4 separate regions of the Mus musculus genome follow, and all the other regions are reported to be linked to region 3. The links are microRNA targets in miRTarBase. Many come from high-throughput screens and were not tested one by one. Region 3 holds a microRNA gene; each other region holds the end of a gene's coding sequence.

Region 1 (7,121 bases), not on the chromosome of region 3:
GGGTGACCCTGTAGGAGGACCAGCAGTCTCAATTACCCTGGATCCCCGAGAACTCTCAAAAACTGGACCACCAACCAGGCAGCATATACCAGCTGTTATGAGGCCCCCAACACATATACAGTAGACGACTTCCGGGTCTGGGTTCAATCACAGAAAATGCACCTAACCCTCAAGAGATTGGAGGCCCCAGGGAGTTTAGAGGTCTGGTGGGGTGAGGGGTGGGGGTAGGGTGGGGACATCCTCTTGGAGATAGGAGGGTGGGGAAGAGGTATGGGATGTGGAACAGTCAGAGGGTAGACCAGAAGGGGAATAAAATCTGGAGTGTAAGAATAAATAAATAAATAAATAAATAAATAAATAAATATTAAAAAAAAAGAATTCTCTAGTATACATATAATTTTACTATTACACAATAAAACAAATTTGCATACTAAAAAATAAAGGAATTGTCTGGGGGCAACCAGTCCTCTTCATGGTGTTTGAGAATAAAAATAAACCTTAACCTGATCCCTCCAGTTCCCATTTCCACCTGCCCTAGTTTCCCCTTCCCAGGGAGATTCATGGGTCTCTCCTTAAGATTTCCTCATCTCTTAGCCTCTCTGTGTGTGGGTTGTCGCATGGTCATCCTTTACTGTGCAGCCTGTGTCCACTCATCAGTGAGTGGACAACATGTGTGTCTTTCTGGCTGGCTCTGGGGTATCTCACTCAGGATATTTTCTAGTGCCATCCATTTGCCGGAAAAATCTCATGATGCTATTTGTTTTAACAGCTGAGTAATACTCCATTGTGTAAAGATACCACATGTTCTTTATCCATTCTTCGGTTGAGGTACATGTTGCTTTTTCCCAGTTCCTGGTTATTATGAATACAGCAGCTAGGCACATAGTTGAGGAAGTGTTGCTGTGATAGCAAGGAGCATCCCTTGGTGTATGCCCACAAGTGGTATCTCTGGGTCTTGTCCAGCATTAATATGATGGGAGGAACCTAGTCTTATTTTAACTTGATATGCCATGTTTGGTTGATATCCCTGGGAGGCCTGCCCTTTTCTGAAGGGAAAGGAGGAGAAAGGGACGGGACAGGGGTGGGGTAGTGCAGAGTGGGACCAGTGGGGGAAGGGGGAGGGGAAACTGCAGTCAGGACGTAATATGTAAGAGATTAATAACATAAAGCCTTAAAAATGAAGTTAAAGAAACTTGTAGTTCTTTTAATTGAAATTCCTCCTCCTTTCCAACTCCCCCTCCCCCCCTTTCTTGGTGCTCTATTGAAAGCAGACCCGCAGATTCACTATTCAAGCACATTGTGACTCTCACATTAGAACTCTTCAGCTCTATTTTAAAAGGACAAAAAGTAGAAGTTATGCTTTTCTGAGTAACTCGGTAGAGTAAGCAGACTCTGCCATGATATGTGATGGAGAGCTGGACTGAATCCAGTGTCCATGGGCTAAGGTCTCCGCGCTGTTCGACGTTTCTTTTGATTGTGTGTGCTTGTTACAGCATGTTCCTGGAAATGAACCGCCGCCCCAGGAGCATGGCTTCAGAAGGGCTGCCTGGACCATTACCCTCGGCAGATGAGGGATGCTGAGCAGATTCTAATAGTTTCTATTAAAGTGCAGAAAGTGAAGGCGGTGTCTCTGTCCCTAAGGACTTGCACTGACTTAGTTACCCCAAAATATGTTTGCCTGTTTCAGAACTGTCCCCTGTCTTGACAGGAAGTGTTGCAATGACAGTGACAGGCAGAGCATTGTCTGAACTCCTCGAATGGTGTATTCGTCTCTGATCATCTTCTTTGCTGTCAGAGCTAGTCTGTTAAAGCAGCATGCCATTAGCAGCTATGTTGTGAGATGATTATTTTCCCATCATATTTATGATTTAGCTTCCTCTTTTGATTCTAAATTCAGAAATTCACTGCCTCTGGCCACAAACAAGGAAGAATGATTGTCAGTGGTGCTGGGACAACCCAGCAGTCTAGCCAACCGGTGGGCAGGGTGGGCGTGGTGGAGGGTTTGGAGTGGGAGAGCGGTGGGGAGAGTGAGAAGGGAAAGCGTTATGCTTTCTTAGGGTTTTAGATCAGCTCTCCCACAGATTTTGAGAACAAACTCTATGTGCAATTGTAAATTTTATAGAAGCTGCAATAAAAATGTAAAGGCAGCTGAAATTCGTATTAATTGTGTTGTTTGTTCCAATATGTTTAAGCACATGTAAACAATATAAGAATTGCTAAGCTATTTGTTTTCCTTTGTTGTTTTTATGCCCTTCTAATCCAGTGTGCGTTTTATGCAGTCCACTCATCTTAATCCAGGCTAGCCACATTTTAAGTGTTGTGTAGTGACATGCAGCTCATGGCTACTGTACTAGACAGTAACATTCTAGAACACCCGTATGTTGTTGGAAGACTCAGAGAAAGCTGCATTTGATTTCTAAATGTTATTATGTGGATGGTGATAGTGATGATGATGGTGATAGTTGTATGTATGTGTGTGGTGTTTAATATAACAGCAAAAAGTGAGAATATATTAGTGTAGTTATATCTCAGACATGGAGGTGAGAGGAAAACTGGAGAACTTAGAAAATGCTTTGTCTTTCTGAATCATCTCAGTGGTCTAGACTCTATTTCCTAATGTGGAATGCCCAACTTCCTCCCTCCTGCCTGCCTTTTTCTTTGCCCTCTTCTCTTGCCCCCTCTTTTTGCCTGTCTGTCTGTCTCTCTCCATCCTCTTCTCTCTTCACAATCTAAAATATTTACAAGGAATACTGTTTAATTTTTCATTTTCAACTTAAATATATTGAAAAAGTGCTCTGTCAGATGGACAGAGGTAGTTGTAATTTTTGTCTAGATGAAATAGAACGAATGCCCTTGTTAATGCATTAGGAATAACCTTTATAATGTTCACCAGGGCACTCTTGCCTGCAGGCATGGGGAGCAACTGTGGAGCAGGGGTGCAACTCACTTTCTGGGCTGCAGCCCCATCCCTCAACCTGTTGGGCCATCCTACCGAACTATTTTCCTCCAAGGATTCTAGGAAAAGCTGCTTTCATACTCTTGAGAAGGCCAACTCATAGGGACACCACTCATCAACAGGCAGCTGGGGCCATACAGTCAGCACTGCCCTATCCAGGGAGTGGAGGGCAATGGGAAAGGTTCCTCCAAGGAGATCCCTTAGAAGACGAAATTCTCTTTCGACAAGTCCCTAAATTTCTTTTAACGCTGTACCATGGTCAGTTCACAAAGCTCTGAGAATCTTCTGCAGGACAGAAGACAATCCCCCCTTCTTCTTGCTCTTTGGCAAATATTTGTTTTCTTTTAAGGCACAACATTTATTCCTTTTCCAAATGTTATAGTGGCTTTAGGTGGAAGAGAATGATGTTTTAGCAAGGAAAAAACCAAAACACCCCAAAGTATAGGTCTGGGATTTGGCTACTAAAAGTTACATACGACGCCGGTGGGAAAAAAAAGACAATAAAAGTTGTGTCGATTATAGCACTCCCTCATACCCCGAGACATGCTTAACAAATCAAAGACACACGTTTGATCCACAAGCTGGAGGCTTGAACTTGAGAAAGATATTTATAAACTCCTAGACAGGACAAAGTCCTCCCCAGCCCAGGTGCCATGAGCACAGCACAAGAGATTAAAAACTCAGCATGGGGAGACTGGACACTCAAGTCTGGGAGTTCAAGTCCCCTCACTTCTGGCTCAGAGGTTTAGGGAGGAGGCAAAACAGAACCTAATTGAAAAAGAATTGAGGAGAGAAACAACAATTTCCTTGTGCAGGGGTGGAGCCCAGGAGGGAAGGAGAGGCAGGAGCATTTCACGCCATTAACTTAATGGATGGGAAATCCTAAGGGACCATCTTCAACTGTCCTTAAGAGGAAAATCATATTGCTGATGGGAGAATCCACAGAAGGGAAAGTTGGGGAGAGGAGAGGAAAGGAGAGGAAAGGGGAAGGGAGGAAACAGGAGAGGGAGGGGAAAGAGGGATGGGATAGAAGACATGACTTGGGGGTGGGGGACAACCAGCCCTTTACTTCCTGGCACAAGAAAACACCCAAGGAACCAGGTCCAAGCCGTGGCCTCACAAAGACAGCACAGATTTTATAGCTTAGAGGTCATACCTTCCCCCAGATACCCCTGGTGCACAAAGCTGTATGGACTGGCCACAACAGTGCTTGGAGGAACTTATGGGGTGGTTCCATATGATGTAGCTATTCAGATAGGGTTATTTCTGTGAACAGGTGCGGGTAGCATGCTCATTTCTAAGTATTGAAGTACTATAATGGACTTGAAGGAGTAGCAGCTAGATAAATCCCCTGATAGGCAGACAGATAGGAAGAGGGGTTACAAATGATAGTGAAAGATGGCAGCTAAGGTGGGACAGGCTTTGTGGAATTTTCCCCCTGACTAAAGGCTCCTCAGACTCTGGAATAGTCTTACAAGTTCAACACTGGAACGGGACACGTGTTGGCCTTTTTGAGAGACTAGACCATAGGCTCCTTAGTGTCCTCTCTCCTCTACAGAGGGACCTTTTCTCTGTGTATTTGTTGTGTATGTGTTTCCCCACCCCTAATAAAAGCCTTTCTTCACTGGCCGATCCCATCTTCTGTGTCCAGGACTTCCTCTGCTGCAACCTGCAGTGCTTAGGATTTCTCCTGCCATTTAATTCTTCCAGTGGAAAAAGAAAACAAACCCCATCAAGACTTTTGATGGTAACAATGAATTCTAGACCAAGGGCCAGGAGAAATGGTGCCTAGCCTACGAATTGGGCTGAGAGGAAAGAGATAAATTAATATTAAATTTGCAGCAGCATAAAACACTTGGTAATTGGTTGTTTCCTTATCACTGGGAGCCTAAAAGGTAGAGACTCAGTGGGTACATCTGTAGAGGAAGAGGTGAGCTGGAAGAGCTTGAACCTGGTGTATTACAGAATCTGAACAAAAATCTTAACACTGACTTCAAAGCTGCTGCATTCTTAACATTGTAATCTATATGCATACCATATAATAGGTGTATTTTCCATTAGAGTTCAGCCAGAACAGCAGAAGCAATCATACATATGTATGAATGCAAATATGTATAGGTGGTAAATATTTGTTACTGGGAATTGTCTCTCCCACATTTGAGAGGCTGGCTAAGCAATATGTGTAAGGATGTTGTCAGTGTCCTCAGGGCATATGTCCTTATAAAGGAAAGATCACAAGCATGCACTCAGCAAACACAGAATGCAACCCCAGGGAGACCAAGTGATGAGCCCCAGTTCTGTCCTTGCGCTGACCTTGGTGGTGAAACATCCTGTAGAAGTTTTGTGCTTCCTAGTCATGCTATGAAACCCCTCAGGTGGCCTGAGGGAGGATCCAGCCAGAGGGAGAGGGCTGCCTTGAGCTGAGTCAGCTTCAGCAGCAGTGTTGATCCACAGCACGGCTGTTAATGTTCTTCCGGTGGTCCACCCTAACTGAAAGAGGATTCTGGGCAATGTGGTTGAGCCTATACATGGTGACCCATTTCAAAACCATCACTGGCATCCGGTAAACATGTGCATGAGTGGTGTAGAATTTCTCATGGAAAATTTTGAAAAGTCAGGATACTTCATCCTGGCTCTGCCTCTATCTAGCGAGCAATGTCAAAGAAATCACTGAGATCTTTGGGTCTTAATTTCCTCATTTGTAAAACTCCAAGAAAAATTCCTGTCTAGCCTACTGAACATGATTTTTTTTTTTACCAACTCTGTTGAGATAATCAAAACAGAAACATAAAACAAGCATGCAGCAGTGTTGCACTATTTTAATTGCGGTTACCAATAATTCAGTTCTTAGATGAGTCACATGAGATATTAATGGTCCCTGACCTATCTGCCATGCACATACCTAGAAAGATTAAATTAGATGAAATATGTAGCAACACTGCCAGCTCTTCCATAGCCCTCTCTCCAGAAAGAAGTCACACTTGTCTTTCAAGGTGAGGATCCATTTTCACATTGATTTTTAGTTCTGGACTGAATGATTTAGAGGGACAAGCACGTAACTATTGGTGACTCTGGGAGCCGAGGAACAGGGATTCTTTCTGGAGTGGAAGTTGTGGGTAATAGATGAGGTTTCTGTCTTGTAAATCTGGGCTTGCACCTCATAACAGCCAAACTTGCTCATCAGGACGAAGAAGTCCCTGCGGAAGTTCTTGGTGAAAATGGCATAGAGGAAAGGATTGGCACAAGAATTGATGGGGTAGAACAGAACTAGGAGGATCTTGGCCTTGGACACAGTGATGAGGGGCACCTTGAGGGAGGCGGAAATGGCAAAGAATAAAATTGGGGCCATGCAGAGAAAGTCCGTGAAGATGAGTGTGGCCATGCGCTTGGCAATCTTGGTGTCTCTTGACGAGGACACAATGTTAGGATTCCTCACTGTGAGGTAGATGTGGGTGTAGCAACCACAGATGACCACAAAGGCCAGGGCGTTGAGTACGAGGAGGGCCATAACATACAGCTGCGACAAAGGGCTGTCGATATCCATGGGCAGGCAGATGCTCACTTTCATGTAGCTACTGATGCCAAAGATGGGGAAGAGAGCAGCCGCAAAGGCAAAGGCCCAGCCCAGCACCATGATGCTGGCAGCATGGCAGAGCTGTACCTTGCATTCCAGTTGCATGGCATGTGTGATGGTATGCCATCTTTCTAGGGTTATGGCTGCCAATGTGTAGACTGACAGTTCACTGGCAAAGACAGTGAAAAAGCCAGCGGCATCGCAGCCTGCTCCTGTTTGCCAGTCAATGGCGTAATTGTGGTACTGGCTCTTAGTATGGATATCAACTGAGGCTATAAGTAGCAAGTAGATCCCAATGCAAAGATCAGCAAAGGCGAGGTTACACATAAGGAACCGGGGCACAGTGAGTTTGTATTGGCTTGTGGTCAGGACCACCAGCACTGTGGTGTTCCCAGTGATGGCCAGGATGCTGATAAACCATATCAAGACTCTGAGGATGTTGTACCCCATGATGTCTTCACATGGATTAAATGCATCTGGCTTTGGCGAGCAGGTCACATCAACAAATTCATTGCATAAGTCATAGTCAAATTCACTATACAACATGTCAGATCCTTTTCCATAACTGGGTTCATCATCTACGAGAGAGAC
Region 2 (7,121 bases), not on the chromosome of region 3:
AACAGGAGTTTATGGGTGATTATGAACCACCATGTGGGTGCTGGAACTGAACCTGGTTCAGTTTTCTAGAGGAACATCCCGTGCTCTTTAGCACTGAGGCCTGAATTTCTCCCTTTTTCTATAATAAAGTAAAAGAAACTAAGGCATCACTTTAGCATCATCTAGATTCAGCTGTAGATCTCTACTTTAGATAGAAATCAAATAAGGTTTAGTTTTCTTGCTACCTTTATTCTATCAAATAGCCTCAAGCATTGAATGTTATTCTAAATAAAACTCAATGATTAAAGAATCAGCATTCTTTTATATGCGGCTGGTGTATAGGAGAGATTTTTTTTTGCTTCCATTGTTTCAGAACAATATTATTAAGATGGAATTTTCCAAGTAGCTCCTTATGTTTCCTCTTTTTCTATTTGTGTGTAGCATGGGGACCCAATGCTGATATGGTACTCTAATTAATGATTCTAGGCAGGCAACCCAGATGATCCCTTGTCGGTCAATTGGTCAACAAATTTTTTTGTAATTCTAATCATAAATACATATTAGACAAGGCAGACAGACAGACATGATCCTTATTAGTTTTCACAGTAATTAGAAATTTCCAGTGAACCTGATGTAATGTTATAGTACTGTAGCCCTAGCACTCTGAGGTAGAGGAAAGAGGATCAGAACATTGGGGCAAGCCCAGGCCACAGAGATCCCCTCTCTTTCTCACGCACACAAGAAGCTTGACACTAACAGTCTGGACATACATAGCTTTTGTCTTCATTTCATCTATTATATGATGTCACACAAAAACAAACTTTGCCTTAGTAACTTGCAAAGCACCAGGAAAGCTGAAATTATTCTACAGGGTTTCTAATAACATGGTGATTTGCACTGCCTTACCTCAGCTTATTGACATGTAAAATAAAACTAGGGGCTATCTGTGGCCGGTCTGTGTCATAGGAGAGGCACAGTAGCTTCGTTAGCCACAGTTGTTGGTCTCAGGCAGGAAGGAGCATGGCTGAATGCCAAAGCTAGAATATTCTGACTGGTCAGTGTTTTCAGAGAAAAATCAAAGAAAGATGGTTGCATGATTCTGGCTAATCATCTGATCATTTTCATAGGTTCCCTACAGGTACTTTCAGCCTTTTGGCTTTGGGCCCCGCGGCTGTGCTGGGAAGTACATCGCCATGGTGATGATGAAAGTTGTCTTGGTTACACTTTTGAGACGATTCCAGGTGAAGACACTGCAAAAAAGGTGTATTGAAAACATACCGAAAAAGAATGACCTGTCCTTGCACCCAAATGAGGACAGGCACCTTGTGGAAATAATTTTCTCTCCAAGGAATTCAGACAAGTACCTCCAACAGTGAAGAAGTGTGGCCTATCTACTCTGGGGCATTACTTATCCGTAATTACATGGAAACCATCCATTTTATCGAGTAGGTGGCGTGAACCTCACCATGAACATTTGATGGTCTGTAGAATTTTATGATCATAGCTCCTATGGTTTGTCATCAAGCTGGGCATCCATCCAGGGAGCCAGGATGCAAAAGAAAGGAGTCTGTGTTGGGGACCAGTGAAGAAACTGAAGCCTTAAAGGACCAATCCTACAATATATACCTTGGGAAAGACAGACCATCAGTAAAACACGTCTGGTCTCCTGCTAGAGTTCTACAGCTGTTGTCAGCACATCGAAATGACTCTGGCAGAAGTACTTAAGTTATTAGAAAGGCCAGGTCAACATCCCAGCATGTGGGCCAGGCATAAATGAACAACAGGACTTTCATATGTGTGTGTGTGTGTGTGTGTGTGTGTGTGCGCGCGCGCGTGCGCGCCCACAAGCATGTGCCATGTACGTATGCAAGTCTGTGTGTGTACTTGTGCATGCATGAATACATAGTGTGTGTGTGTGTGTGTGTGTGTGTGTGTGTGTGTGGTAGACTCTTTCTACATTAAACCCAGTTGCTTACGGTGGATCCACATGTAAACTGTTTGGGGGCAAAAGTGAAATATAGGGTGTCGTTTCTTACTCTCAATTTGTGCTCCCAGGAGTGTAGTTAGACTGTAGTAGGTATAGATTCAGGTAAAACATGCCTAAGTAGTATTAGCCTGAGTAAAATATAGCTAGGACTCTATGTGTGGTGTAGGGGGAAAAATCACATGGTGCATTTCAAATAAAGAAGTCTTTTTAAAAAAAAACTTTGCATTGTTGCTTAGTTCCTTTAGTTCCATGGAAGGAAATGCAGCAGGCCAGGGGGCCCCAACTTCTAAAGAACCATCTCTTCCTTTGACACACCTTCTCATTCCTCTCTCCCTCTCTCTCTCTCTCTCCCTCTCTCTCTCTCTCTCTCTCTCTTGTCATGACCCCATTCTTTCAAAAAATAAGGGTCAAACCTTCACAAATCATTTTTTTCATCCTACCTCAGATTTAAGTGTTACCCCAGAGGCTTACACACATGACATGTTTCCATCGAGTGGACAGCCATCATGTCCCATGCGAACATTCTTTTTGTTTAGCAACAAGGCAACACTTGAGTGTAAAACATGTGTAGGTGTTTTGTTATTTTATCTTTTCTCCATTCCCAATCTAACTTTCCTTATCCACTGTAGTCTCCCCTCCCCCAGCCTGAAACCTGCTTGCTCAGGGGTGGAGCTTTCTGCTCATTTGTTCTGCCACGCCCACTGCTGGAACCTGCGGAGCCACACACGTGCACCTTTCTACTGGACCAGAGATTATTCGGCGGGAATCGGGTCCCCTCCCCCTTCCTTCATAACTAGTGTCGCAACAATAAAATTTGAGCCTTGATCAGAATAACTGTCTTGGCTACATTCCTTTCTCTCGCCACCTAGCCCCTCTTCTCTTCCAGGTTTCCAAAATGCCTTTCCAGGCTAGAACCCAGGTTGTGGTCTGCTGGCCGGACACAACAATCCACTGTCAAGATCAGCTTGGCATAGGCACACTTGCTCATGGATAGCCTAAAAATTCAAGTATGAACATTGTCAGGAAGGACATATTTGGGCTTGAATTTATATGATTTAAAGGGAGCTAATATATAATTATCCACCCAAATCTGTCTGTTTCCAGGTCTAGATAACCATCCAGATTTGGCTCCAATGATCAAGGTGAAGGTTAGCATATTATGATAATCCACTCGCTAATCCTCAGTGCACTACTTTATCTTTCCCTGTGGAGCTGCATGACTGAGGAGAGCTCTTATCAGTGTTCTTCACTCACCGATTCTCCTGAAGTGTCTACTTTTATTTCACATGTAAATATGCACTGAAGGCATATATTTTATGCTGAAGTAGAAGTTGGAAGAGTTGTATCTAGATGATATGGACACAAAAATATGTTGAGGAAAAAAACAAACAGAAGTTGGAGGCAGAAACACGGAGAGGACAGAAAGAGAAGAGAAGATTGAGGGAGCATCTCCCATTATCAAATATTTGGTTAACTGTTGAACCTAGCATCTTCAGACAAACACCATATGTTCCCATGACTGAGGAATCTGTCTGTTGGCTTTCCAGTAGGCTGATGGACACATGTTTGAAAACCCTAAGTGCTCATTAATTAACAAAGGTGCCACAGATTCTATTTTTGTCAGCTTCCAAAAAGGTAGATTGTGTGTTGCCAGTAAAATACATGCACGTAAGCTTTACCACAATCAAGTCGTGAGAACGATTACCCCTCTCCTCTCAACTGTGTTGATCACCTTCCCCAGGCTTTAATGGGGATGCTGTTTCTCTTTCCAACTGGAAAATAGTGAGGTTCAGAACTCTTCTCATATTGGGAAATGACCATTGGAACTTGCCATTTTGTATTTCTAAGTATCACGTTTCACTATGTGAGTATGTGGTGTTGACCATCTCCAAATAATACTACCTGGACTCTCTTTTGTATCTTGTATCAGTTCTGGGGCTGACCTCTGACTTAGATTTTCAGAAAGATTTGCTAAACTGAACTTGGTAATGAATTGGAATACATGATATTTTCAGTTAGGTACTCAACTTAATTTAGGAAGTTATTATCTCCATTTTATTATTTTATGAAGCATCCCTTCACATCCCCATTTGTTTGTTTGCTACCCACTGGCCAGTGTTTCCCTCTTTTATGCACATATAACCCATCACATGTGGGTAACCTTCAGATTGTTAGTAAAACCTAGGTTTTTAAACTGAACCTGTCACTTGAAGAAGTGATCCAGTTGGGACTGGAACCCATGACTTCTGAACTTTATTCCAATTCATTAAAAAATGACCTTTAAGCCAGGTAGTGGTGGCACACACCTTTAATCCCAGCACTTGGGAGGCAGAGGCAGGAGGATTTCTGAGTTCGAGGCCAGCCTGATGTATAGAGTGAGTTCCAGGACAGCCAGGGCTATACAGAGAAACCCTGTCTCGAAAAACCAAAACCAAAACCAAAACCAAAACCAAAACCAAAACCAAAACCAAAACCAAAACCAAAACCAGCCAAAACACAAACACAAAAATCAAGAAATAACAACAAACAAAAACAAAGAACCCAAACAAACACACACAAATGGCCTTTATCTCCCCCATCTTCTATCGTGATTCTGCAGAGCATAACATTTTCAGGACAGTGGTCAGTCTCCCAGAGCCTATTCTAAGGCATTATTATTTGTCAGAGCAGAGGTTCCAACTTGGAGTGTAGGCAATACGCCACTCCCTAAAAAAACACAAAGGGCAGGGTAGCTCTGTCAGCTCTCCCAGCCTCACCTTCCTCTGAGGATGTGCTTCCAAGCTTGGAGAACAGCAGTTCTCAAATCAGTCAGCAGGGGCAGACACAGCACAGGTTTGTGAGCTTTGAAGTTTGGCAGCTTCCAACAGAGGGAGTATAGCCTTCCCAAGCTTCTGGCAGCCTCTCACTATGTAGTGTGCCAGACGGTATGGTTGGTACTATTGTCTGGTAGTCCGAAATACCCTTCAATATCCATTTATTTTGGATTCCCAAGAGGCTGACTCCAGCCGTTCACCCGAGTTTAGCTCAGAAGCAGTCCAGTGAGGACTGTGACACAGAAAGTTACTCTCCGTGGTTTGCTTTCTACATCTGAACATAGCTGAAACATAGTGTCCACCTGCTGGAGCTGTGACACACTGGAAACTACCTGCTGGCTAGTGACTATTCAAAACATATGATCCAGGGATAATAGTAACTTATTAATTTAGCCTTAAAAATATTTATAGGCCATTGCTATGCTGAGTGTTTAGGAGACATAACAATGAGTAAAATATTCTCTCAAGCTGATTGTAAATATTTTGAAAATTTGCTTTATTGTCTTAAGAACAGCAACACTGTAATCTATAGTTTCTTTTATTGCCTTTGTTACAAGCTCAGCACCAAACTAAGGCCAGTGCTTCCTGATGTTTTGGTTTCTGCAGTTGTCCAACTTACATCTTCTTTCTAGTTGGCTCTCACATTTTAATTTACACCCCATACTTTACCCGGTCAGTGCGTAAACCTTTGACTTGGTCTGTTTCATGTCCAGATCTGTGCTTTACCCTTCTTGGTGGACAGTCAAAGCCAGGCACTCTGGAAATGGGAGGGCTGCCAATCTGGAAAAGGGGATTTCAGTTAAGGAAATGACAAAGGGTACTGGGGTCAGGGAGAAGGGAACAGAAGGACCAATGATGAGAGCATCTCAGAAAAGGACAGACTGAATCCACAGCTCAGGACAAACTGTGAAAAGAAAGATCTAGACAAAATCTAGCTGTGTGAGCAGGGAGAAAAGGGAAGAGGGTGTGAACAAGAAGAGAAGCACCTGCTAGAAGAGAAACTGCTTTTATGCATTTAAGGAGAAGAACAAGGAGAGAAGGGAGCTATATACTGAGGCATTTCAGTCAGAAGAGACATAGACAGCACCACCTGCACACTACAAAGCAAGTTACAAGGTTGTGCCCAACCCCCCCCCCCAACCTTGAGCAGGCTGGCTCAGACTGTGTTTGTTACAGTTGCTAGCTCACCTAGGGTGGAGTCTTCTGACCTAAGTAAAGTATATTGTCCTGCCACATCTGCTGCCTCTGCCAAGTTGCCACTACCTTCCGGGGATGGGAGCCCCCCTTTTATAAGTTCAGACTCATAAGTAAACTTTGGGCCTTGATCAAAGAACTTTGTCTTGGCTCATTATTTCTCTCGTCGCCTTTCCCATCCAACCCCAGCTTTCCTTTCAGGAACCCAGTAACCCATGGCCACTAGCTGCTATACAAGGTGAGCTGCAGAGCTACCCTGAGTTCCCCTGAGACTGTGAGTCTGCCTTGGGAAGCTGATTCTGCTCACTGGGGCCTCAATGTGGATATAGAAAGCTGGTCACATGTAAACATTAGAGCTATAACAGGTCAGCTTTGGGCTTTGCTCAGCACATATTAAAGGAATAACATTGGTATGGAATACATGACCCTAACAAAAACAAAACAAAAACCCAAAAAACCCTTAAGCAGATTCTACAAAATATATGGGTCCCTGTGAGCTGAAATATCTATATCTATATCTATATCTATATCTATATCTATATCTATATCTATATCTATATCTATATCTATATCTATATCTATATCTATCTATATCTATATTGTAATCACAAAGTAGAACCTTCTCAAATGTTTGTCTACTATATGAAAGATAAATCATGTCTTTATAAATCAATGGGAACAAACAAATCGACTGCATTCAACAATGTGGATAAATCTCACCAACAGAACACAGGCTGAAAGAATACACAGGCAGGCAGGCAGGCAGGCAGGCAGGCAGGCAGGCAGGCTAATGGATGGACATATACACTGTAGACTATGATTCTGCCACACCCACTCCAGTGAAGTCTGCCTGACAAGTCCAAAAGCTTGGCTGCAGTCTTGAGGCAAAAAGTTTCACAGAAATTTGTCTCCTGGAGTCTTTGGCGTCCTGTAACACAGATGTGTTTCAGATTTGTCCCTGAGAGTTTTGCATGCTTTCCTTCAGTATTATTTTGTTATAGGTATCCCCAAGGAATGATTTGACAAATAGCTAGTTAGATTAAACTTTGCTTCCTGGCCTCCACCAGTATCCTAGGCAGTCTTTGAGCCAACCCTGGGCTTGGAATTTCATAAGAATGTTACTCATTCAGACAAAATGCCTCCAGTGT
Region 3 (7,121 bases):
AAGATTTGGTTTCTAGGGCACAAACATTCTGCCTTCACTCTGCAGAGTGGAGGTGGGGGAGGGGTAGCAAAAGACCCGAAGGAAGGAGTCAGGCTGCAAAGCAAGCAGTATTCCCAGCCCCCAACAATGCCCCCGACTTGGAGCTGGGGAGGGGAGCGGGAGGGGGGGAGTGCGGCGGAGGGGGCGGGAGGGGGGCACGCTTTTCAATTTTCACCACTTGCTCCGAAGACAGAGCTCAAGAGTAAAGGGGAGTGCTCCAAGGCTGAGGGACCACAGGAAATGGAAATCGTTAGAGGCTCCTCCCACAAGGCTCTAAGCCCCTTTAAACTTGAGGAGGATATCAATTGTGGACCCAGTGCAGGAAACAGATGAGTGAAATATTAGGACAGAGCCAGGAGATCCTAGCTCAATGGATGGGCATAAGGCAGGCTGAACTGGGCCTCGGAGATACAGATTTGCTATGATTGGTGTATACATACTGTGTTTCGTTTTAAGAGGCATACAATAACTCTACATAAAGATGAACGTATAAGTTTCTGGCATCATGAGAAATGCTTCTGGACAACGGGAAAATAGATCTCTAGAAATTAATGTTAACTTGGTAATGCCCACAGCTCAAGTCTTTTGATCTCTATCAATATATATTCATTGATCTTCCTGAAGCATACTTTTTGAACCTATTTGTATTTTTTTTTTAATCTGCACCGTCTCTCAGGAAATCTGCCTATTAATTAATTTATGTCGTGTAGATTCATCATGTTTCCCTTGCTGTTCCCTCCTCCTCAATGGATTGACAGGTATGGTGCTTTAGAATAATCAGTAAAATAATGGGCATTGCAGAGTCCTTCTTGGGTGTTTGTTTAATTGGACAGTTGCCCATGTTACTGGACATCAAAAGCAACACAGAATTATTTGGTCTCCCAGCACTGGAGTGTATCCAAATGTTTTCCTGTTTAGGATTCAACTTTTCTCCTTGTCTGCGTGCATGCATAAATGCTTTACACAATTACATTTGCTGACTTTTTCTGTGGCCCTGGTTATTGGCATCTAGTTTTTCCAAGTAACATTGACACACATCTGTTCAAATCAATTGACGCTTCTATCAGGACTGACTCATTTGGTGGAAAAAACAAGTTTACATGCCAACTGGAACAAAGGAGCCTAGATTTGGGGGAATAGCAGGAAAAATGAAAACGGTGGGGCCGGATTATTTGACTTACAGATCATAAAACACTTTCCAATAACATTTTAAAAAGGTATACAATATTACACTAGTGACTGGTTATATACTGTACCCCCCTAGTTGGGTGGTTTTCAATATCTAGTGTGGTAAAACGCATATAAATTACAGTTTTTGAAAGATGATTGTACTTTCTTGGAACAGGAGTCTTCTGTGTCCACATCCCCAAGATTGTTGATGTAGTGTTCCCTTGTTGGAAAACCAAACCAAACCAAACCAATATGGCTAGCAGAAGATGCCTTCAGAAGTATTCCTGTTATTAAAATTGTTACAAAATTATGTTCAATTCTAGTGTATCACAATAACCTGAATATCTTGTCCTACAACTTACAGAAATGTCAGAGTTTAGATTTAGAGCCAGGCTAAGCTTTTCATAGTTTTAAGAGCCATGTCTGTCTAGTAACCTTTTACAATGCCACGTGCACACAGCTTCCTCACTAACAAATAACATGTGTTGGGGGAAAAAAAACGGAGAAAACAATGGAGAGGTGCCTCTTTGAATGTGGTAATGGAGGATCAATTAATCAGCCGACCATAAATTGAATCACTTTATACAAGTCTCCCACACATTATCATGCACATTTAGCAATGTTTGAAAAACAATTTAAAAGAATACCTTAGGGAGTTGTTAAAGGGAATTTATAATCTGGAACGAATTGCCATCTTCTTAATTGACATAGAAGTGTTTGGCTAAAATATTGCTTTATTCACATTTTGCCCTTGGAAGAAAATCGAAGCACATCATAACTTCGACTAGGCAAATAAAGGTGCGAAGAGCATTTCAAATCAAAAAAGGGCACCACGCAGCCAGGTGCTATGTGGATGAGCTCAATTTTGGCGCCCTTGGGCACCTTGGGCTAATGGCATCTTAGATTCTTAGTCAGTGGCCTTAAACCTGGATCATTTGCTCCTCTGCTCTAAAGTCCCCAACCCACCTGAATCTCACTTGAATCTTGCAGGCACCCACTGGAAGCAGCCAGATGGCGCAGGCCAGATTCTTCTGGGTGAGTGGGGGCCTTCAGTGAGCCCCGGCGCTCTTCCTCTGGCATAAGGCAAAGCCCTGTTGAACAGTGGAGATGGAGAAGGGAAGTTGGTGAGGGAGAATAGGAAGTCTCAAAGTGCCCCTCCTCCAACCCTGCGCATAGGAACGCGGGGCGCCTGAACCTGTTAGCCATTTGTCTTGGGGATTCCGGGCCAGAGGGGCCCTGCCAAGGGGAGGGGTGAGGCAGGAGCTGGGGGGCGTGGCTTCAAGAAGCCAAGGAGATGGGGGCAAGGCGTGGCTTAAGTTCCAAGGGGTTTCAGTGCTCCTGGGAGCCAGGGGGTCCTTGGGGGCCCAACGGGACCCAAACCACCTCCCACACCTTGTTCAAACGCAAAGGAGTCTGGGAGAAAGGCATTTGGTGGCTAGAGCTAGACTCCCAGGCTCACAAGGCCTCCTCTAACTGTACCTTTTATGGGGGCCTGCACCCAGTCCCTGGGGAAGATGACAAGCAGTTCATACAGACCAGAAGGGTGTGTGTACATGTATTTTATTTCTTTTTAATAAGACAAAGCAGCACGATTTCACCCACACTCCGTTTTCCAACAGTCCTTTACATGCCTATACTCCAGATTATGGAAAGTGATTTTCACAGGAAAAGTACAGTCTTGCTCCAGAAGTTTAACACTCTTCTCCAGTTCCCAGGCGCCTCTTGACCTGTTTTTTTTTTTCACTCCAGGCTCAAAGGGCTCCTCAGGGAAACGGAGGTGCCATGATTAATCACAGCAGAGTTTGGGATGTCACAAAGCAGCCATTTTCTCAGAGACTTCTAGGCAGTGACAAGGGTGTCCCCATGTCCCCACTGCCATGTAGAATTGTGTGATGACTTTGGGAAAGGGGGATAAATGGGGACTAGAAATGCAGAGCCTCACTGAGGCTTCCTGTTGGGCCATTGCCTCTCATTGTACCACCTGGGGGTCCGCACCAGCAAGACACGAAGAGATCCAGGGACACTCCCACGGACCCCTTAATCTTTCCTAAACTGCAAAGAGAAATGGGGACTTTCTCAAGTCATCCTTCCTGCCCTTCAGAACCCTTCTTATTCCTTTTGGAAGGACCCCTTCTCCATTTTGTTGTTGAGGACTTAGGACAAATTTTCTTGTTTCGCTCTTGTGGGTGGTATACTACTTGATGACCAGGAAGTGCTTTTTTTTTTTCCCAGTTGATTCACTTTTACCTGAGCAGCAAGTGAGGCGCTAACAACACACTTTCAGTCACACCCAGTCAGAGTCACAGATCAGCAACTCTAGTTGGGAGCTGTTCTAGAGTCTCCCTCCCATGGGGCCTATGCTGCAGGCTAACCGAAACTTACCTGGTGGGTGTGCCCATGTGGAAGACCCAGACTTACCCAGGCAGTGGAAACAATACTCCAGGGCACCAAACACTCACTGCAGTACTGTTCCCGCTGCTAGGGCACGACTGAGTGGGATGGGCTGAGTACAGGATGCCTTGTCCCTTCTTCAAGTGAATTGCCACCTTGCTATTCACACCCACCCAGGCCCTTGGACTGTGTAGAGTGACCCTCACTAGACTAAGCCCCTGCCCTCCCACCTACCTGCTTTAGGGCTTTTAGTAGAACCCACACAGGTCTGTTCAGCAGGTCCCCACCTTCTACATTCCCCACGAAGGGGTGTTGCAGCGCTTCATGTTTTGAACCTTGGCAATACTCCAAAACATGAATTGCTGCTGCAGCCCTTCGGAGTCAACGAGGGTGGGGGCCGCTCTGGGGTACCTGCGAAGGAAGAAAGTCTCTGTGATTTCCAGGATCTGCTGGTGAGGCAAAGGGTGTACTGTTGGAAAGCAGGGTGTGGTGGATAGTGGGGAGGAGGAGACTCTTACCTCAGAAAGTAGATGAAAAGTGGGATTAAATAAACTGAGACAATTTGGTAACATCTGGATCACTCTTGCCAGCTCCAAAGTCTTGGTGAAACTTCCTGCTACCTTGTATAAGTCTCATTTATTGTCCCCGGGTTTTGATCATTTATTGGAAATTGGTGCAAGGAACTTTTGATAATCAAAAAAAAATCCCTCTGGGTAGTCCCAGTTGGTTTTACTGAATACTATAGGCATGGAATAGACTTGTCTAGTAGTTTCCTCCGTTCTTACAGTAATCACCTCGTCATTAGTTATTTTTAAGGACAAAGCATGAGAATGTTCTAGATGAAACATACATTCCTGGATGTTCTCATACATTGCTGGCTACTCAAGCTTATTTATAAAGACATTTGTTACCATCGACATCAAATCACAAATCAAGAACTTTAAATAAATGACATCCTTAAATACTTGATGTTAAATACAAATCACTCCTTCTTAAGCCACGCCACTGAAAATCTTGTCTTGAAATGGCCGGCACTGTGCGCTCTCCTCAGCTCCCACTGTTGCTTTTCAAAATGGACACACATGAGCAACAAGTTACATTCATTTCCTTGTTTAAACAAAGCATTCAGGAAAGCACAAAAACCATCCTTTAGTCCTTAACCACAAACCTAATAACTAAAACAACAAAACTACAGTGCCTTTGAAAGCAAAAAACATTCTGTATACAAATTTCCTGTATTCTCATTTAAAATTATGTCCGTTTTTCGAAACTAGTACAATGAATGCTGGGTCCTTTTAATTAATTAATAAAATATACAGAGTATGTAATTAAACTAAATACAAAATTCCTAACATAACAGATAATGATCCAGTGCTAACATATGCATTGCTTAGGTCATGATAAATAAAGCCATTAATAATAACAGCCCCACTCCTTAAGTTGGAATGAAAATTCCGTCTTTTCTTGGCTATATTACAAGTCATTTTTACATGGACACGGAATTGTGGAGGAAAAAACCATCGATGGTCACCTTTAAAAAGAGGAGAGAGAAAAGCCGTGTTTAGTAAAGATACAATTATACTTTAAAGATACGTATTTTTCTCCCAATTTAACTTTATGTCCCACACAAATGTCACATCAGAGATTGCAATTCCTCTTAATTTAACATTTCCTTAGTTGACTACTCATAAAAACAAAATTCATTCGAGATAACATCATCAAAAACGAAGGTCTTACTAGATAATTTTGTTAACGAATACACTGGAATCAAATTCATCTCTAGATTATCCTTCATCCATTTCTTTTCTTCCCATCACTCTACAACGACTTATATCCTTAAAAAGCCATCTCACTCCCTGGGTTTGTGTATTTCCCCTTGGGCTTAACTTTACTTACGAAAAGAGAGCACAAAGAGATGTCTGGTCACTTCTAGAGAGGGTCATTCGCTGATACAATAGACAAAGAATCAATACTTTAGGGTTACCATGGCCCCACCCACTTCAGAACCACGACGGGTCAAAATGGCCCCACCCACTTCAGAACTGCGAAGGGTTTGGCCAAATGATTTAAGAGCCAAAGACTAAGCCTCTTCCTCTCTTCCCAGTTGAGAACGTTTTGTCTTTTAATGTTGCAGATGCCATGCGCCCCCACACCCAAAACATGATGCACAGGTCCTCCGCACCTTCCAGCCAAACTTTTCCAATACTGGAAAAAAAAAAAAAACAACTAAACAACCTTGAAAAGTTTTAATTAGCGAGAGACAATGGAAAACGAATTTTACGGTTCTTTCCAGGACATTCTTTACTGCTTACAAATGAGTGGCCCAAAGTCCCATTTACAGTCTGTCAAAACTAGTTGCTCCCCACCCTGGCAAGGCTGACAGCCTGAGGCTGCCCGCCCCTCACTCATTTCTCTCTCCCCACCCCTCCCCGTTTACTCTTCTCAGTCCACTTTCTGAGAAGTTCCCTGGCCACACTCACTTGCTAGACATTTTAAAGATCTGTCCTCCCCCCACCACGACCCCCGGACACGCTTTCCACCCCCACACCCCACCCAGCGCGACGCATAACATTTTTTTGAGAATTATCCCCGTATCTGTTACAGTCTGTAGTGACCAGAGACATAGTTGGGGGCGGGGGGAGGCGGGCCAAAAAGTTCCCTTCCCCCTCGTTTTTTTCTTTTTTAGATTCTAAGTCACCTCTCACTCCACTCGAAAATGGCGCCGAAATCGTAGAACTTCTTAAATTTCATTGTAAGCTTTTTGCAAAGGTTTCTGGGATTTTCCTGCGAAGCTGCTCCTCAGCGTCGACCTAGAAAACAAGCCGGGGAAGCTAGAGAGAGGAAGGAAAAGGCGGGCGGGGAGGCGGACAGACAGACGGACAGCGAGAGAGAAAGGGCGGAGGGGTGTGGCGAGGTTGTGAGGTTAGAAGAGCGAGTCGCGGAGACTTGGGAGGGCGCGAGGTGGCGGTGGTGCGGGACATCGAGGGACAGAGGGACGGACAGCCGGGGAACCGGGGTTCGCGGGGCGAGGGGCTCACAGAGAGGCGTGGCGGAGAAGAACCGGAGCCGGGACGGAGCTGGGCTGGAACCGGGCTGGAATCGGGCTGGAACCGGGCTGGAATCGGGCTGGAATCCGGCTGGAATCGGGTTGGAGCGGTGCTGGAGCCGGCGGAGCTGGCGGAGTTGGGCTGGAGCCGAGCGCACCCCAAGAGGCGAGCGGGAGCAGCCAGCGCCCAGTGGTCCGCAGCAGCCCTAGAAAAAGCCGGCCCGGGGGGCGTGGCCATGCGCTGCTCCGCGCCCCGCCCAACCATTCGCCCGCTCGCTCGGAGGCCCCGGAGCGGAAGGGGGGAGGGGGGAGGCCGTGCGGACACGCAGAGCCACAGCCTTGGCCTGCAGCCAGGAAGGGCCGGGAAGGACACGGGGAGCCTGGAGTGGCCACGTACAGAGAGCCTCATAGCCGCGGGTGCAGGAGACAAAAACCAGGGAGAAAGGGGAAAGGGGAAAAGCGGGAAGGGAAGCAA
Region 4 (7,121 bases), not on the chromosome of region 3:
CTTGCCTCCCCTTTGTTATAACCACAAAATATGTAGTACAGCAACCTCAGGATTTCCGAATACCCAGTGTTCTCTAGTTACTCAACTCTCACTTATAATTATTTATTTATTGTAATTCGGATCCAAAGATCATTTACTGTAATTAGGGTCCAAAGATCATGCAGTATTTGATTCATATAAGAAGACTTATACGTATCTTTTATCCTACACATTCCTTTTATCTCTGTAATTAACATTTCAAAGAGGATAGTGTGTGGTGTGTGGTGTGTGTGTGTGTGTACCCACAGAAGCAGGAGAGCGCATCATATCCTAGAGCTGCAGTTACAGGTGGTTGTGAGCCTCCTGACATGAATGCTGGGAACTCAACTCTGGACCTCTCAGAAAGCATATCATCTCAGGCACTGGGCCATCTCTGCAGCTTCGATCTATACCAGACGTTTTAAATCATTATCTTTGTGTCATTTTTCCTTGTACTTTGCTGATTACATCCCTGAAACTGACAGGCGCTTTTTGCTTTATTCTTCCTATAAACCGGTCCTCAACTTGGGGATTTGTCAGATCATGGTTCGATTTCTTTGCCAAGATCGGTCCTAATGCATCTCATTATGGGGCTTATGGCAACCTCTGAGCTGTGTCTGGAACGCTGTGGAGCAACCACTTCCTCCAGATTGAAACACTTCCTTCTGCAGGAAGCTACTCAATCAAGGTAAACACCTCATGACAGCTTCAGGTAGTCCCTGAAACTGAGCAGATTCACTGGGCTCCTTCCTGCCAGAGTAAGCAATAAAAGCTGAGCATTCCTCTTAAACGCAAGGATGCTGAGCTGCAAGGAAGACTCTCTGAAACCAGCCGAGCCTCCTGGTAGAGATTTAGTTCAGCTGTGCCTCCCTACCCCCTTTCTGAACCCCAAGGGCATGGTTTTCCTGTGTAGCCCTGGAAGAACTCCCTTTGTAGACCAGTCTGGACTTTAACTCAAGAGGTCTTCCCACCTCTGCTTCCCCAGTGCTGGGGCTAAAGGCATATGCAGCCACTAACCTGGCTAACTTGTAAAGGCTGTTCTCTAATCTGGTGAGCTGCCTGCAGGCTGTGTGTGCCCTGTGCTCCAGGTTCCCAGCTTTGTGGGCTGTCGTCCATCCACACTCAAGTGTGCTTTGGTGATGCAGCAGTCTTCGAGTCATTTCTGCTCCCATAAGTAGCCTCTCACCCGTATTCCCATCACCAGTTAGACTCTGATGGTGCCTGTACGTTGGTCTGTTATGCGTTCCCTATCTGGGGTCAGGAGATGTGCTGCGTCCTCCCTGGAAGTTCTGTCACACAACAGATGCTAAGACTGATGTATATATTCGGGTATCACCAGACAAATGCATCCATCCTTCATGAGAGGTAACAACTCACCTCGTGATTCAGTAGCAACAGTGACACCTACGTTTGAGTTAAGGCTGGCTCTGACACAAATATCTCACTTTAGATAAGACAAAGCCACGTGACACAGGAAAGGCACCCAGTGTGTGAGTCATTTGCTTACCACAAGCTTTTGTTAGTGAAGCTGTTAGCAGTCTTTACTGGGATAGACTTTTCCCAAAGAAAAAAGATCATCCTTAGTTTCAGGTCTAGCCTGCAAGCAACCTTGACACGTCCGTTTGCAAATTGGATAGTACTGATAACGCACATCAAAGGGTTAAGGAAAATGTAAATGAGATGTTTGACACACCTACAATGTTATTACTCAGTTTAGCACTGAGTCATGGATTCAGCACTTTTTACCGTTCCGTGGACTGAGCACCCGTCTCCACTACCACACATCATAGGTCCTTACGCTTATTTACTATAAGCAGATATATATGCTTATATATATGGTCCCGGGAGTGATGTAGCAGCCACCCTAGTTTAGGATAAGATGGTTCTCATCACTCCCAACTAACGGGAAACAGCACATTCTAAAATAATGCAGTTCATAGACATGAGTTTCTTATGGAAGCATGCCCAAGTTTATACAGTGCTGGGCCACAAAGATGCAAACGACATTTTAACTTATAAACTCTTGTCTGAAACATCACGTCACTGCAGGACTCGGGAACCAGAGGCAGGAAGACCACAAGCTTGAACTCAAGACTACTGACTACAGTCAGATCCTGACTACAAAACAGGGGGGAAAAGTTAAATATAGCCGGGCAGCGGTGGCGCGCGACTTTAATCCCAGCACTTGAGAGGCAGAGGCAGGAGGATCTCTGAGTTTGGGGCCATCTTGGTCTACAGAGTGAGTTCCAGGACAGCCAGGGCTGCACAGAGAAACCCTGTCTCAAAAAAAAATCAGTTCTCCCCAGTTACATTTTTATTTCATGTGTGTGTATGTGTGTGACAGAGAGAGAGAGAGAGAGAGGGAGAGGGAGAGAGAGAGACAGAGAGAGAGAGGGAGGAACAGAGACAGAGAGATACTCTGGGGAATCACTACTTTGATAGCTTTTTAAGTCATGAAAGGAAATGCAGAGAAATCATATGTACATTCACTAGAGGTAGATCCCAGGACTCTGAATTTTTTTCCAGAAGAAAACAAAAACCAAAAAACTTTCAACATAAGAATTTATTGTATAATAATTTTTCTCATTTACTATTTTTACATTTTATGCACAAATATTTATCTGAGTAAAAATAGAAAATAACTGTTTTATGTAAAATTACAAAAAAACAAAGAAATACATAATTGTTATTATGATAGTATAAGTGTCTTTATTTAAAGAGTAAAAATGTATGCAAAAATTCTCCTCCCTTCTACAAAAGACTCAAGAGTATTTTTTCTTGGGAGTAAGTGAAATATTGAATATCAACATTTTTTTTATAGCCTTTAGATCTGAAGACATTAAGTCAGTCACAGGTTTGTTTTGCAATTATAAATTTTAAAACATTTTTGTGCTATTTCAAGGATACACTAGTTCTTTATAAAAGGCAGTAGCATAAATGGCAAATGCAGAAAATGACAGAACTTGCCAAAAATACTTGGAGGTACACTCTTTAAAAGAAATAACCATACTCCAGCATTACTGTTTATCTGGGGAGAAAAACTGAATAATTTTTCCTACTTTATTTACATGGATCAACACTAAAATGAATGCAGTTGGCTAACTCATCATGAGGAGCTCAGTCACAGCCAGCACTTCTGCCTAACTGGCTGCACCTTCCAATGCCAGCACCAACGCTCAGACCTCAGGCTAGCTCAGACCTCAGGCTAGCACAGACCTCAGGCTAGCTCAGACTTCAGGCTAGCACAGACTACAGGCTAGCTCAGACCTCAGGCTAGCTCAGACTTCAGGCTAGCACAGACTACAGGCTAGCTCAGACCTCAGGCTAGCTCAGACCTCAGGCTAACTCAGACCTCAGGCTAGCACAGACCTCAGGCTAGCTCAGACTTCAGGCTAGCACAGATATAAAATGACGTCAATGTAAACATCACATGGAAAACTCGCTTTTCTAGCAACAGGAACATTTCATTATTCTTCAACTTATAAGGTACAAAAGATGGTCAGACCGTTTTCTGTTCTTTTTGTTCAACTGTATCTTAGGCTCTATGAAAAATGCACGACAAAACTGAGCAAGGATTACCATGAATTAACATTCTTTTATAACATGAGTTATTTTAATAGATGATAGCAAACTGGGGCCTCAATAAGAACAACACATCTTTGAACTCTCAGTGGAGCCAGAGTGAGAAAGCTTGGGTCTCCTTCCGTGTGGGGGGAGCATGGAGGATGCAGGAGGGGTAGAGAACAACCACCTAAGATCTGAGAACTGTGCTCAAATCACAACTAACCCACCAGCTTCCAAAGGAAGCAAAGCTATACAACACGTTTTGTGTGTTTTGTTTTGTTTTGTTAAGGATTTGGAAATGTTTGATTGTAGGGACCTAGAACAAATATAAATGTTCCTTTCCTTAAAACACATTCCTCCGAATGATACACAAAGTCTGTCCTCTTGGCTAAAGCTTTAACATAATGTCTCCAACACACTGTAAGTCTGAGCTTCTCAAGCTCTGATGTACTGCGGCAATGCCCTGTTCTCAAGCAGTGACTTACGGCTCCCAGGCCTATTTGCTGTCGAAAGTCAGGGCCTAAAGATTATTCTTATACTCTACTCTTTCAATTCATGGTGACCAAACTGTACTAATAATTTGCCTGCCTACTGTTGTTTATAAAAACAAAGAGCAAATATAAAAAAATAGGATTTTACTCTTTTTAACTATTTACTGTATAATCTTAAAGGACTTAATATAAAGAAACTAGCAACCCTTGTTGAAGTCTGACAGCCCAGCACTGGAAGTCATGATATAGGAGGTAAGAAACCCTCTGTCTTCTCCCTAACACTCGGTCCTGGCTGCATCATCAGGCTGCACTTTCTCTCCTCAAACTCTTCTAAAGCCAATTTGGGAAATGAACTGAAAGAAAAACAAATGAGAGAGGTGTATATAAAGTAGCCTTTATCCTGTTCTGAGGAATTCCTTTCTGTTATGAAAACTATATGCTAATCTCTCATATCATGATTTATGGATAATACTTTAAAATAAATGAAGAAAAAAATTTTTTAGGCATTTCTTCTTAGTGTTAGCAAGCAGTAAGGCATTTCATATAAGATTTATTTAAAAATGTTAGAAATATTAATCTCCCCTTGAATATCTGTCTTCATATATGCAGAAATGGTTAGCTAGTCATGTGTACAGTATTTTTTAAGAGTCATATATGCAATATTCAAAAGAAAAAAAATGAAACAAGTGGGAAACTTTATTTAAAGAAGATCGCCTACAGAGCCCAGTCAAACCCTTTCATAACTACTCACAAGGAACTTACGTCAAACGTTAAACATGTCGCCTGATCTAAAGTCTTCATTTTATCAGAAACACAGAAGGGAATATATAAACGGTCTTGCATAATAATCTGGTACTACAGATTAATTTTTAAAAAAATAGGAAGTCAAAACTAAACCAATTTTTTCTTTCTGAGGTATACTTTTTAAAATCTGAGAGAAAGAATGATATCATTTTGGAATTTTTGCAATAGCTGGTTTATTAGAATTAAATGCCTCTCTCAAAATAATTTAAGACCTTGGCTTGACATAATGAATAATCTATACAGAAAACCATTAATAGTGGTTTGAGTTAAGCCAGCTTTAAATCTGGGTCTCATTCAACACTTTCTTCTGCCAGTTAACTTCCTCTCTTCTTGTAAATTATAAATTAATAACCTGATAGTTTAGTAATTACCAATGTAATTGTATTTGATAGGACTGCTTAGCTCTGCTTGATTAGATGAAACAGGCACACATGCTTTAGCTGAGAATGTCCTTTTTCAGGCTCTGTGTAAAGCAGCGGAGAGGAAACAGCTCCACGCCCGCAGTGGCTACACCAGGCTGTTTCCTGGAAATGCTTCCCTCCTTTCATCTTCAGACGCTACTGGCTATTTTTTGGTAGGGCTAGACATTAATACTGACCAGTTTAGCTTTCCTGACTGTTAGCAAACTACCCCGATGAACCTGCTCTCACATTGCAGGCATCGTGGTGATCCTTTAACATATTCTAAAATATATGTTCAACGTAAAAAGATCCAAATTCACAAGAGTATGAAATATTTATAAAAAAAATCATGCATCAGATTGTACACTCTAGAAATACGATTCAAATTCAGTAATAAAGGTTAGAGCAAAGCTTGCTCTAAATATTTAAGAAAAACCTTAAGACTCCCCAGGAGGTCCTAGGTCTCAAATCTCTTTGTCTGCCTGTAGAGAGGTGGCTGCCAGTGCTACTGCCGTGACTGGCTGGGCAATCCCATGCAGCTGCATCCGTGCCAGTTTCTTCTGTTCACACTCTATGACCAGACGGTTCAGTTCTGCTGCACTGTATCCAATAAGAGTCTTCAAGTCACAAACAAATTTGTACACAAATCTCTTGCCTTGAACTTTACAAATCATGTCCCCATCATAATAATACCTTTAAAAAGAGAAACCACATCAGGACCTCGTAAAGATGAACAGTTTGTACTCCCTACTTTTTAGACTTTTCTGCAAACAGAAACCTAGCAGAGTTCTGAATCCACTACAACAGTTAACATTGACGTCACAGTATTTCACATTACAAATCAAACTCTAGAACATTACTCACCAAAACTTCAGTCCTCACTACTCCAGAATCTTATATATGAAACTTTCAAAATACATTTTTAACAACTCTGATAACATTGCTTTAGAAACCAACAGAATTACTAAAGAGAAGACAAAACAAAAGAGCCTTGGAAAGTCAGAGATACACCGCAAGGCCTCACTTGCTGCCTCTGTGACCACAGGACCATCCTAGTTCCTTTAATCCTTTATTCCTCATCTAGAAAATGAGGTTAAAACAGTACTTACCCTCATAGAACTGTTGAATAGAGGGATAATCTTTATAAAGTGCTTAGCTTACAATGACTGCCACAGTTAACTCTCTATAAAATATAAGCTATGTTAACAGGAATCCAGATAACAAAAAGTTACAGATGGTTGGTTGTGAAGTCCACTTTTGTTTTATATAAAATCTAATATGATATATTTAATACAATAAAGAAATATCTTCATCTTCCATTTATTATATAAAGGCTTGCCACATTTTGGAGAAATTCTCCAAACCACGAGGGATCCCAAAAGAATAACTCTAAGGTCAGAAGAAACAGGCTCCAGGAAAAGAGGCGAAGGGCAGGCATCATGAAGCAGCACCACTGTCTAGCCCGCACTGCAGAGCGGCCTCGGAGGCTACGCTAGACTACTTTACTACACTCTCTATGGAGGCAGAAGCAGCCGAGTTTATAGCTACTTTGTACATCAGACTTCACATCAACAGAAAATTTGAATTGACTAACCACTAAACTACTTGTCATGCAGTTTAAAAATATAAGTTTATGATAAATAGACATTTGGGAAAAGGAAAAAAAGTGGTTTCATATTTCTAGAATGCAATTAGGACTGGTGTAATCGTCATTTCTTGGTAAAAGAAAAAAGGGTGCATGCACGCGCGCACACAAATACACACACACACACACACACACACACACACACACACACACACACTCACTCCCTCCCTTCACCAGGTCTAATACTTCCTTTCTTCA

The links. Region 3 holds the annotated microRNA mmu-miR-503-5p (UAGCAGCGGGAACAGUACUGCAG, at 3,668-3,690, opposite strand). A microRNA usually pairs through its seed, bases 2 to 8, with sites in the 3' UTR of a target mRNA and lowers its output. Matches are read on the target gene's strand: a 7mer-m8 pairs with bases 2 to 8, a 7mer-A1 pairs with bases 2 to 7 and ends in A, and an 8mer does both.
Region 1: miRTarBase lists Fshr as a target of mmu-miR-503-5p. The part of its 3' UTR that is shown has no 7-base or 8-base seed match.
Region 2: the mRNA of Cyp19a1 is a reported target of mmu-miR-503-5p. The part of its 3' UTR that is shown has no 7-base or 8-base seed match.
Region 4: miRTarBase lists Gabpa as a target of mmu-miR-503-5p. Seed matches in the 3' UTR shown: 7mer-m8 at 5,349-5,355.

The regions. Positions count from the first base shown.
Region 1 is chr17:88,979,195-88,986,315 of GRCm38, forward strand. It overlaps Fshr (follicle stimulating hormone receptor), which reads right to left. Exons shown (of 10, transcript NM_013523.3): 10 at 5,758-7,121. The coding sequence ends at 5,976. It also overlaps the pseudogene Marcksl1-ps2. Among named protein-coding and RNA genes, the nearest start is that of Lhcgr, 190 kb to the left of the region's middle.
Region 2 is chr9:54,160,991-54,168,111 of GRCm38, reverse strand. It overlaps Cyp19a1 (cytochrome P450, family 19, subfamily a, polypeptide 1), which reads left to right. Exons shown (of 9, transcript NM_007810.4): 9 at 1,107-2,175. The coding sequence ends at 1,355. Among named protein-coding and RNA genes, the nearest start is that of Cyp19a1, 29 kb to the left of the region's middle.
Region 3 is chrX:53,050,360-53,057,480 of GRCm38, forward strand. Mir503 (microRNA 503) reads right to left here and starts at 3,695; the gene lies at 3,625-3,695. It overlaps C430049B03Rik (RIKEN cDNA C430049B03 gene), which reads right to left and starts at 6,831. Exons shown (of 4, transcript NR_038185.1): 1 at 6,639-6,831; 2 at 6,299-6,410; 3 at 5,783-5,805; 4 at 2,753-5,131. It overlaps Mir351 (microRNA 351), which reads right to left and starts at 2,994; the gene lies at 2,896-2,994. It overlaps Mir322 (microRNA 322), which reads right to left and starts at 3,990; the gene lies at 3,896-3,990.
Region 4 is chr16:84,859,225-84,866,345 of GRCm38, reverse strand. It overlaps Gabpa (GA repeat binding protein, alpha), which reads right to left. Exons shown (of 10, transcript NM_008065.2): 10 at 2,567-5,971. The coding sequence ends at 5,743. Among named protein-coding and RNA genes, the nearest start is that of Gabpa, 28 kb to the right of the region's middle.